Caenorhabditis elegans: one gene and its partner. The protein of the gene in region 2 purifies or fractionates together with the protein of the main gene of each other region. This does not show direct contact. Each region holds a gene or a part of one and is shown on either strand. Other genes may lie near its edges.

What was found.
Region 1: the proteins of spdl-1 (region 2) and rod-1 purify together in Caenorhabditis elegans (affinity purification with western blotting, with the first as the bait; one study listed by BioGRID). This does not show direct contact.

Annotation. Positions count from the first base shown.
Region 1 is NC_003282.8:7,476,550-7,484,460, forward strand, and holds the start of rod-1 (Kinetochore-associated protein rod-1), read left to right. Parts: upstream 1-1,902; 5' UTR 1,903-1,903; coding exon 1,904-2,000; intron 2,001-2,055; coding exon 2,056-2,208; intron 2,209-2,255; coding exon 2,256-2,551; intron 2,552-2,608; coding exon 2,609-3,001; intron 3,002-3,044; coding exon 3,045-3,713; intron 3,714-3,764; coding exon 3,765-3,965; intron 3,966-4,013; coding exon 4,014-5,315; intron 5,316-5,362; coding exon 5,363-5,611; intron 5,612-5,655; coding exon 5,656-6,157; intron 6,158-6,200; coding exon 6,201-6,615; intron 6,616-6,660; coding exon 6,661-6,841; intron 6,842-6,889; coding exon 6,890-7,051; intron 7,052-7,097; coding exon 7,098-7,370; intron 7,371-7,422; coding exon 7,423-7,911. Other genes in the region: pycr-4 (Putative pyrroline-5-carboxylate reductase 4), read right to left, coding at 1-251, 320-573, 632-740. UniProt on the Caenorhabditis elegans protein: Essential component of the mitotic checkpoint, which prevents cells from prematurely exiting mitosis. Required for chromosome segregation, the assembly of the dynein-dynactin and mdf-1-mdf-2 complexes onto kinetochores and spindle pole separation.
Region 2 is NC_003280.10:7,779,797-7,784,096, forward strand, and holds spdl-1 (Spindly-like protein spdl-1), read left to right. Parts: upstream 1-1,769; 5' UTR 1,770-1,790; coding exon 1,791-1,826; intron 1,827-1,874; coding exon 1,875-2,117; intron 2,118-2,163; coding exon 2,164-2,487; intron 2,488-2,535; coding exon 2,536-3,168; intron 3,169-3,213; coding exon 3,214-3,417; 3' UTR 3,418-3,555; downstream 3,556-4,300. Other genes in the region: snpc-1.1 (snRNA-activating protein complex subunit 1), read right to left, coding at 1-133, 180-261, 323-641, 686-895, 941-1,009, 1,055-1,132, 1,183-1,267, 1,316-1,413; skr-17 (Skp1-related protein), read left to right, coding at 4,082-4,119, 4,169-4,300. UniProt on the Caenorhabditis elegans protein: Transient kinetochore component required for chromosome and spindle pole alignment and chromosome segregation during mitosis.

The DNA of each region.
Region 1 (7,911 bases), on a different chromosome or scaffold from region 2:
GATTCGATGTACATAAATGTCCATGCAGGACTACTCCCTCCAATAGCCATTGCCGGGTTAAAGCATCTTTCTGGGATAAGTTCGACAGTTCCAACACACTCGGCGAACTCGCGTGCCAATTCGATGTGAGAATCTTGATTCATAATTTTTTCATTCTTTTCATAGCACATCGTCGAGGCGCCGGCTCCAATAGAACTTGCTACATTTGGCATCAAACGAACAATGGTAGTGTTTCCCGAAACGAATGGCAACTGGAAAAATGTTATGTACAGCAAATTATGATTTCTAAAATTATTTTATAACTGCTTATAGTAATCACCTTCGCGTTGAGAACTTTTAATGGAACTCCAGCCATTACAGAAATAATAAATTCTGGTCTTGAGTTTACAGGCCAGCTTGACACAACTTCTTCGAAAACTTGAGGTTTCACACAAATCACATAGATTGCCGTCGAATATCTTTCCAGCATTTCCAGTGTGTTTGTGAAAACGTTTTTATATCCTAGTTGCCTCCATTTCTCAGCCGATTTTTCCGTTTGAACGCCAATTACAATATTGCTTTTCGGTGTAAAGCCTAAAAATTAGAAAACAATTTAATTCAAATCAACGAGGAGAACAATTTTTTAACTCACCTTTATTCTGGCATCCTTTTATAATTGCAGCGGCCATATTTCCACCTCCGATGAACACGAATGGCACAGACTCTGAGGACCCGTTTGTCAATTCAGTATCGATAGTCATGGTTTTGACTGAAATCAATAATAATTGTTTTTGACACAACAAAAAGCAACATATTAAAAAAAAAAGAAGAAGACATGAGCAGAGGTTTGCCCGCTTAACGAGATTCTGTTTCTCAACTGCGTCTCTGTGCGTTTAACATATAACTGGGTTCTATTTTATGTCTCTTGTTAGACGTCTAGACGTCTAAGTCTCCATTTATATAAAAGTTACAATAAGATATATTATGGTACATGCTGGGATCATTTTAGTACCGAAATTGACATGAAAAACTAGTATTCTATAAAAATTTGTATCTTAAAACCGTGAAAGGCACAGAAAGTCACCTAGATGATTATTTTGTCATCATTCCAGAGGCCGTATAGATAATAAAATATATTTGTCATCGGTTCAGTTTTGTCATCCTGCTCTGGAAAATAATTCAAAACGTTCAAACCACGAACAAAACAGTAGGAACAGGTGAAACACAGAAAATAAACACTTCAAAATTTCTTTAAAAAATGTAAAATTATTTTATTTATGATAAAAACTTGAAACATCTGAGCAGATACGGTAGACATATTAAAGGCGCATGCTGAATATTGGAGATGGGTTTTGGGACGAAAAACTACGGTCTTTTTTCGCCTGCCCGCGCAAATTTTAGGCGCGAATTTCTCTATATTTACACGAATCTTAATTCTTTTGGATATCATTTTAATTTTCAGTTATTTTCTCGCCTCATCCTAATAAATCGTTTCAGACTATTTATTTTTGATAAATATAGTGAAATTTCTGAATTTAAAGAAGTTTTCCGGTCTAAAATTACGTTTAAAAAAGCTGTATAGTTAGGAACACGTAATTTCCACGTTTCGATCAATTTTTACTGAATGTGTTAATTGTTTTTCATTATTTAATTTTTGTTCAACACAGTTAAAGGTAAGGAAATGTATGAGATTTGAAACGCTTTTCGTGTTTAGTTATTGGTTTTTTGCTTCAAAATTCAACTATTTGGTTCAAAAAAGTCTTGTTTCTCTCACTCTAACACTTGGAAATTGCGCCCTGCTGACACTTATTTCGGCGGCGAAAAACATTTTTTGAAATGAAATTGTTCACTCATTTTTATAATCGTTCTTCTGTTAAATTTTTTAATTAGAGATACCAGTGTATTATAATGTCGTATTTGCAGAATGGGTCGCCTAGGCGAAGCAAAAGCTGTGGACTTGGAAGCGGAAACGTCGACTGTGGGCCTTTATGATGTGTGCACCGTTGGGCGAATCCTTCCCCGTAAGAAAATAAAACTATTATCTTTATGATTAATGTAATTAAATGTATGTTTCAGTGTTAAATGAGATGTCAATCGATAAGAAATCTCCGGCATGGAAGCTCAAACCGAAAAGTAACGAGCGATTTCTTGTTCTTGCGTCGTGCTCCGATCTGGCAGTCTTCAGTCTTGGCGAGAAAAGCGACTACTCGTTCAACACCGGACTTGGAGGTATGAGCTATTTCAGAGTCTCTGGAATGATTTCTCAACATTTTCAGGAGCCATCACTGATTTCGAAATCCTTGGAAGTTCTTCCTTCTTTGTTGGAGTCATTGAACATCGTCGTATTGTAATTCTCTCGCTGGATAAACAAGAAATTTACTTGAACGAGCCAGCTCCTCATGAAATTGACTTCGTTGTCTGTCACACTACTTCCAGTGTTTGCCAATTGATTTTCGGGAGCCGATCTGATAATTGGCATACTATCACATTGCCAGGAGACGTGGCTGCATCTAAGGAGACTAACCGTTTCGAAAATTGGCACAGAGATCAGATTCAGGAATTTTTCCACCAGGTAACGCTCATCACATTCATTTAAAGTTTCAAATTAATTTTAATACTCTCTTTTCAGGCAATGGGAAAAACGGTTTCAAAGTCTGTTGACATGTCGAAGGTCGCAGGTGACATTACTCTGATCTCCAATGGGCCACTTCAGACGTTCGCTTCAATTGATCAGCAAAGAGGGATTCACTGGTGTGGTCTCGTCGAATCGGAGTTTGAGGTGATTGGCATGGAAAAACAATTCTTGCAAGTCCGTGATGGAGGTAGATTCTCTCTTCACCTCGACACGGATGGATGGATTCATGTCTTTGATTCATTGGTATCATCCTTCTGCCACGAATTTGACATGAAGATGTCTCCAGACGACAAAATTCTTGATTTTGTGATCATTGACAAGAATGAAGTTGAAGTTCCGAAGATGTTCGCAATTTTGGTTCTGCCACGTGACGGAGATAGCACAAAGGTATTTGAATCGTATTTGTTAAATTTTAATAATTTCTTTTTAGATGATGATATACGATCGATTGAATAAAGACAATTGTTTCGCTTTGGATTCATCCACGTCTACAACTCTTTTTGCTTATGGAGGAAGTGATCGTGTCTTGATAGCCGTTGAAGAATTGGAAAATTCTCTGGCAGACGAACAGGACGGCAGTCAAATTGTTGTCAGACAAGTCTCACAGTCTCGCCCTGAAATGCGTTTCGAATCTCTTCTGAAGAATAACAGATTTGAAGAAGCTGAGAAGTTCGCCATGGCATTCATGCTGGATGTACAAAAGGTTTACAAAGGACACGTACATTATCTGATGGACTCTTGTGATGAAAGCGATGAATCTTTTGAGACTCTGATGACGAAGATGGGACAAATTCAAGATCATAATATGGTTGCTGAAACATACTTCACTCTTGTTGGAATGAGTCGGCGCTGTGATCGTATCCGCACCTACTTGACTCATGCAAAGAAGCGCAGAATAACGGATCTGGATATTCTGAAAATGATTGAGGCACTTTGCTACACGTGGGGAACTTATCGAATCATTGCTGGTCCAGAAGAAAACGAACCAAGTCGTCCACAAGTTAATGAAACGATTTGGGATTTGTTCGTCGAAGCTTTGCATGATGCGAACCCGTGGATCGAAATCTATAATGAATTCATTTCTGACGCCCAGTTCACTGTCAGTTTCAATCTTATGAAGTTTTTTGTACTCAATCATACAATTTTTCAGCAAGCCCGTGTTATCTTCAGTCGCCATGGGAAATCTATAACTGATTATATGTGTGATGATGAGGAGAACACCATTTCTCGTCTTGAAACACTTTTCCGAATGTTCATCGATGCGATTTCTTCTGATATCAGCAAATGGAGCAATGTGATCGAACACGTAACGACAGACATTTTACCAGCATGTGTCATGATTACAGAAGAGGTGATTTTTAAATTAAAATTTAACTATGTTTAAATCTTTCTTTTTCAGCTAATTCCATGCCTCGAATCACTCATCACTTCTCTTATTTCACTTCTTGAATATCGAGATTCTACAAATTGGCCTGAGAATGCAATCAAAGCAGCAAGCAGTTACGATACCATGACCAAAATATTGTCGAACAATGGAAATACTCCAGCTACACAATGTATTCTGGTAATGTATGGAAGCAAGTTGGGATCTTCTGCCGGTAACAAGCCTTCGTCAATGTCACGGATCAAGAAGATATACTATGATTTGATTGAATTGAAACGCCTGAAAGATGTTTACGAGTGTTCAATCAGTTTCTCAGTATTCCAAAATATGTCATCTGAACAAATTTGCCACAAGATTCTTCAAAATGCGTTGGCCAACCCAAACATGACACATGCCAAAATTGAGAAATTCGTGAAGCCGTTCATGGCTGAACGTCATCTTGATCAGGAACAAACAATCGTCAATTATATCCAGATGATGTCAGGAGCTGCAGTGACAAATGCAAATCTTTTTGGATGGGAGAAACAATGTGTGCAGTTATGTGCAAGTCTCATGGATGAAACTCGACGTTGTTGCTCCATCATCTCGATCGCTTCAACTGCTAAGATTCCATGGCCAGCTGAACTGAATGAAGCTGTGGAGAAGATCCTTGCAAGTCGTACACTCCTGAGATCAGAAATTGAACAAATGCATTTGGTTTGTAAACGTACCGAACTCTACAAGATGTTATCGTCGTATGGCTTCAGTCGACAGGACATCGAACTGCTGACTACTCCTGACTCAAATATGGACATTATCTTGACAATTCGCTGCATGCTTGCTCATCGTGAAAAGGCTTCTCGATTTGTGGATGTGATCAAGTTGGTGGATTTGCTCAAAGCAATGCAAGGAAGCTCTCAACCTCGTACATTGAGAATTGAATATGTGCAATCATTTGCAATTATTCATATGATGTCTCATCAAGATGTAACCATTTCAATTATCAATTACATTGATAGTCTTGGCGATCGTGAACGAGTAAAGACAATATCTCTTGTATTTTCATTCATCGAATGCGTTGCCAATGCACCAGCAACTGGAGACAACGTCTTGGAACGCGAAAAGATCCTCGGGGTTGGTGAAGAGCTGATGTCTCACTATACATGTCGTGATAATAATTTCAATGATCCTGAAAGACGTTTAAAGGATGAGCTTGTCCTTCTTCGCGAAGTCCAGAAAACTGAGACTAAAGCAGTTCTTTTGTCTGAATTGAAAGATGAAGATTGGCAGCGACGGTTCTTGGAAAGATTGATCGAATCAAATTCGTCGATGAGCTTGGTAATTTTTATTTAATATGAACGGAATATTTTTATTATTAATTTCAGAATCTTGGAAGATGTAGCTACATGGGAATTTCACCGGAACATCTCATTGAAATGATTTTAACGAAAGCTACGGTAGAAAACGACATGGACACAATTGTTGATAGTATCACGAATTATGTCGAGTTCATAAATTCATTGACGGATTCTTCTCGGGAAATGCTTGAACCTATCGTGCAAATTCTGAGCTGGATTACATTCAGACTTCCGAAGTTACTACCAAATGAGACTGAGATGGCACGTGCTGACTATGTAAGTGATGGTTTCTGCAAACTATAAAAATAATTGATTTTCAGATTGCTTTCGTTGTCAAACGTATCGGCCGTGTTGTTCGGGAGACACTCAGACGCTTCTCTTTTGATGTTATTAGCGACGATCTTGATTATCTTCTACAATTGGAAGCATTTTATCACTTGGGAGAGCACATTATCAAGCAGTCACTACGAGGCCAAGAGAATGAAAATGAAAAGCAAGAAATGTTCAGATCAGACGATGATACATTCTTACCAACTGATTCTTCGAATCCATTTTCCAATCAGTCATCTCTCCGCATTTTTGAGTTCAAACGCCCACTGGGAACATTTGATTTCTCCAACGATCCAGCTTTATTTGAAGGAGTTCAAGGAGTTCTTGCTCTTGCGATGGTTGCACCTTCTGTTGCCAGGCCATATGATTCTGAGATCTCACCAGATGATGCGAATGAATTCAGATCAAGTTGGGAGCAACTAAACATGTTCCTTGCAATGCATTCACAAGATCTTCTGGATATTTCAGCTCGTGTGTTTGCCGGATCTCTCAGTAAGATTTATTTCCATTTTCAATTTTTTATTTTTCATTTCAGAATGTTGGGCTGGTGAATATCTACAAGGAATCGTTGAAATGGAGCAACCCATTCTGTCAGTCGTCGAAAGAATGCTGCAACAGAAAAAATTCGATTTCTGGCATGCAGTTACTCTTCTTGGTGGAATCCCGTTGGAACGATTAGACAGAGCTATAATCGATCTCCAGAAACGACAAGGTGTGAGAAGTTCGACGAAAGCGACAATCCAGTATCTTCAATTAGCTTTTGTGATGAGTTTGTTGGCTAGAAATATGGAAAAAGTTCCCACAATCGTTTCTGCTTATGAACAAAAGTATTTGGTGAAGAAGCTTGCTGAAGAAGGCATTCGTGTCTCAATTACTCAAGACTTTGTCGATAAAGTTCTACAACAGGCGATAGATCTGCGACAGCCACTCTCTCCATTGCGTCTTCATGAGTGAGTTTCATAAAATAATAGAAAAAATAATTTTGAATATTTCAGTTATGTCAAGAAGTATGTCGAAAAGTTGATTCGGAACTCGAAGATTTCAGTTGGAGAATACATGGTTCGATATGCGACTCTTCTCATTCGAAAAGCGTCTGTTGCTGGACGACACACTGATCGGGAAATTCGCAAAGAAGAAATAGAGAAGTACATCGAAGCAGCTAGAATCGCGTTGAGAGTAATAGTTGTTGAGTGATAATCTTTTGAAAATCTGTTTTCTTTTCAGATTGCCGAGGAAGAAGATGCTTCTTGCATTTGTAATTATCTCCATTGTTTGCTTTACGTTGTGTGTCCATATAACTACGAAGTCATCCAATTTATTGTAACTTCGTATGGAAAGTATGCCACTGAAACAGTCGAGATTGAATTTAATAAAAACTTGAAATCGGTGAGCCAATATTTAAAAAATAAAATTCAATTCATCAATGATTCAGATAATGGCATTCTTATGGGCTTATCAACGTACAAATCATATCAGTAATGAGGAATCAATTTGGTTTACGAAGCGAGAGAGTGTTCTAATGAAAGATGAGAAAGAGTTTGAGAAAACTGGAAGAATGCTCGATCCATTTGGACATTCACTTCGTGTTGTCTATGAAGATGACGGAAGCAATATGTCAGATTCGTATAATTCGGATTTGGCACTTTCAAGTGATGCCATGGTTTATGAGAGGAACAGTGTGATTATCAGTGATCTGCCAAGCCTTGTATGTCGACTGGCAATCATTTAATTGAAATCAAAATATTCTTTAATTTTAGGCGGAGCAATATCTTCCATTCCATGCATTCCTTCTTCGCAAAAAAGAGGAAATTGACGAAATTGTGATGGGAATTGTGAAAGCAGAATTATCGATCTTCAATGTTCCAATCTGGCAAACATTCCTCCGTGAAGTTTCTTGGCTATCCTCACGGTTTTCGCGTTCGCAACTTTTGTCATCTGCAATTTTTGCTCACGCCAACAAATATGCAAAGTTTGGAAAGAGTCTACCAGATGGAGAACGAAACGTGATTTATGAACTTCTTAATTCTGCGTCTCAACGTCATGTTGTGGTTTCGACGATCGCTCTTCTATTCAAAAGAATCATTCTCAGTGATGTTAAAATTGAACTTCTTCAAATGGGAGTCAATATTTCGGAGAGATGGACTTCTGATTTAACTGGTGAAGAACAACAGGAAATGGAAGAACAAAGTGCTCGATTGAAAGACGGAATCGCAAAGTTTTCTACCGAACTTGAACTGAAAAAGAAT
Region 2 (4,300 bases):
TTCAGGCTTTATTCTGGCAGCATACTCATTTCGTAGAACTTCTTCAGCCAATGCATTATCGTCTAATAACTCTTCAGGATTAACTGTTGTCGTTTTTCTGCGTCGCCGTTGTCTTACAGGGCGATCAATCGGGCTGTAAAAATAGGTTATTATTTTGGGGTTAAACTGTAATTGCTTACATTGGAACCTGAGCATCATTATCATCCAAACATTCCTGGGCGATGTCACCAAACGTTCTTGCGGTAAGATGTTTGAAGTTTTCTGCAAAAGTTGAACGCTGACTTTTGAAAAAAAAAAACATATTTTCGTGTAATAAATGTACCTTCCATGTTTGGATCAAGATGCCTTCTTTGTCTAGTGTGTTTTAGTCCTTCAGCATATGCTTTACTTCTCAAAGTTGATCTGCTTGAACCAGCTGTTTCCTCTGGAGCGCTACTAATTTCTGGATTTGTTGGAGAACTTTCGAACTGTTCTTTATATTTTTCGACAATGCCCTTGATTTCGTGTAATGGTGATTTGAGCCCCGTTAGAGTATCACTTAGTCCAAGTTTTTGCTTAGCCTCTGTGTAAACTCCGTGAATAAATGATAATTCCGTCATAATATCAGAACTGAGCATTTTCGTAACACTGGAAAACGGCTCCTGAAACTGTTTATGAAAAAATTCCAATAATTTAACTTACTTACAACTGGAATTTTGTTAAAATAGGGCAACTCTTCCTCGGCAAGGTATTTTTTGTGGGTTGCCGGATCATATGTCGACTGAAACACTTTAATTCTAAACGCTTTCTTCAGAATAAGCATTTTGAGAGCCGCAATTGGTTCAAGAAGTTTTTCGACTTCTAAAGATTTTTGAAATTCGAGAAGCTCTTCGAATTGTACCGCAGTGACCGGAATCTGAATTAAATTTTTTAAAACTAAATTAAACTTAGAATTAATCACCTGACAGACATGATCAACTGGCTGCAAATTGTACAACGCATAGCAAACATAAACTCCGAATAGCCTCTCCTGAAAATATAACATTTCAGACTTATTTTTACTTCTATTTCAAACCTTGAATGCCCTGAATGCTCCAACTTCATTCACTTTTCCGAAATACATTGCTGCGTGTTGTAACAGGTATTCAGTAAACTGAAAGCCGGAATATTATAATAGACTAAATAAAATCAAAATAAAGCTACCTCTAAGCATTCGGCAGGATTTAATCGATAATGAAGAATGGTCTCAAAATGCATATCCCGAAAAACATCAGCAAAGTCTCGAATTCTTAATTAATCAAGATTTTCCATCAAATAATACATTTTCTAACTATACCTGTTGGATCCCATAGATATAAACTTGTTGCACAATAAATGAAGATCTTGTTTAACTCCAGTTCCCATAAATGGCGTGGGAATACCTCCAGAAGCCATTGCGACTCGTTTTTTCCTTGAATCTTCAGAAATAAATCCGAAAATAATTGACGAAAATAAAAACATGCAAGTGCGCTCTATCGTGAACAACCAATTCTCGGCGGGAACCAGCGGTATTCAACGCATTTCAAAATGAGTTGCGCCTCAATTTACCTAAAAATATTGTTTTTCAATCGTTTTGATATAATTTAGCTCAAAATATTCCCATAAAATTAGTTTAAATATATTCGCAATCAATTTTACGCTTTATTAAAACATCAAAAGCTATAGATCTGCGTGAAACGTTCTTATAAATCGTGTTGCCGTGAAAAATATTCTACTGATCGTTTTCTATCGAAACATTTTCATGTTTTCAGAAGAATCGAACTTCAATCAGTATGCCTGACGACGAGGAGAAGCTCCAATTACTTGCTGTAACGTTTTATCATTTCATCTATTACCAACTAAACCTAATATTTCAGGACGTTGAGAGGCTCAAGAAAATTCTCCGTCAAAAAGATGAAATGCTCGAGGAGATGGAAGACGATCTCAAAAATCAGGGAAAACCTTGTTCTTCCAAACTTTCACTCGAAGAACGTGCACAAGAATTGAGTGAACAACTTCGCGATCTTCATGTTGAGATGGACGGAAAAAACGCCACAATTCTTGATCGGGACGCTCTCATCGATTCACTGCGTAGTGAGATCGACAAACTCGAAAAAATTGTAGGTTTTCATCATTGTGGGCAACATTAATATATTGAATTCTCAGAATAAGGAGTTTGCCAACGGATCAGTGATTCCCGAACATGATGATTCCAATTCCTTCGGAGAATCTGAAATGCTTCGTATTAGCGAAGATTGTCAGAAATACAAAGAGACGGCGACTGCTCTTTACGAACGAAACGCCGAACTCGAAAAAGAAGCGGTCAACTTGAAAGATGAAATTGAGTCGATGATGGATCATATTCGGGACCTCAAAAATCATATGGAGACGCGTGATGAGGAAATTGCCAGATTGGAAGGAGAGCTTTTTGATGAGAGAAACTCCCATGAAGGAAAATTAGCGGCACGCGGAAATTCAATGTTTTCTGAGGTAGGTTAAAAAATATCAATTAACTGCATTTTTTTTAATATTCTTCAGGTTATTGATGCCGAGCGGAAGGTTGAAGAAGACCTGAAAGTTCTTCATGGAGAGAATCGAGCACTGAAAGGGATGGTAAAACGTCTTCGAATGGAAGTAGAAGAAGTCGAAGAAAGACTTCGGTCATCCACAAAAAGATTCAACGTTACCCGAATGACCACAAGTGATATTGATGTCAAAGAGATGCGTCGTCTCAGAGACAGAGTTTGTCACCTGGAAACGGAAAGGGTTCATTTGTGGGAAAGAATGTTCATTAAAATGAGGTCAATTCCAAAACGCGAAGTGGGAGCGTTGATTACCGGCTACTTCAAGTCGTTCGAATTGTCAATTGCGAGCGTGAAAGGAGGTTTTGACGGTTTGATGAAGGACAACGAAAAGTACGTGACAATTATTCGTGGATTGCAACAGGAAGTAGAAAATCTCAAAGCGGACATTGTGCAACTACAATTCGACAATAAATGTGCTCACAGAAAAGCTGCACCAGTTGTCAATAAGGATTTCGAGCACCCGCTTCTTGCTGCTCCTCTGAAAACTCTTAACAATGGACGACCATCATTCTTCATTAAACCGAAAAACGTGGAACCCATGCCTCAATTAGGGCATTCATTATCCAGTATTGCCGTTACGCCACAGGTAGATAAAAGTGCAACTTTTCACTATAAATAATTATTTTTCCAGAAACCAGCAGCTAAATTCACCACTCGTTCCTCCATCAAAGATGATACTTCAGAATGGGCAGAACGTCGTATGAAAGCTCAAGCTGAAAAGAAATTGGCGACTCCGACGCCGCGTTACAACTATATCAAACTGTCCGAGCCCGTTCCAAAATTCAAACCGGCTGTTCTTCAAATGCCATCAACCTCAGAAACAAAGGAAAACTGAGTAAACATCATGTTCGTAGTCATCTCGTATTCATATAAAACCGCCTGTATTGATCTCGTCCCCTCTATTCACCAAGTTTTGTCGATTATTCTACAATGTTTCCTATTTAATGCATGTCAAATAAAATTATTTTTATTATAACGCTCATTCTTAGATTGTTGATGTTCAAGAACTTGATAGAGCCGCTGGCGGGAGTGCAGTGGAGCGCGAAACCCTATCGATATTACACGATCACTTATTGATTTATATATTTTTAATATTTATTATTGTAAATATGGGGTAGAATATAGAAAAATATTTTCCAGATTTTCTCTTCCCTACAATCTTCGGAGATCTCGTATGGATATGCTTTCGATATAGGTTCAGTTCTTACTACTAGTAACATTTGAGAGAGCTTAAAATTTAAAAATTGTAAACCGTTCGAATTTGTTCTGGTGTGGGGTTCGCATGATATTGATCGTTTTTAATATTTACGATGATTTTTTGTGTTGTGCGAGGGTGTTTTAAAATTTGAATTTGCCGCCGAATGAAGTAGAACAAGAACGCAAATGCGCTCTGTGGCGAATGGTGTTCGACAAAAAGTTTTTAAGATCATTTTCTCAGCAAAATTTCGTTTCCTTTCTAATTTTTCCATTTCAGACATCACATTTCGTCCGGAAAGCAGATGCCGAAGAAGAACAATACAAAACGAGCACCACCAAGGTATTTTTATAACATTTTGATAAAAATAATTATCTAATATTTCGTTTAGTGTACCAAAGCCGTCCGGTCCGCCACCTCGATTACTTCAACTGACATCCTCAGATGGACATTTGTTGCAGGGAGACATCCGGGCCCTCCTCCTCTCAAGTACACTTGCTGCAACCATCAGAGAGCTAGGATA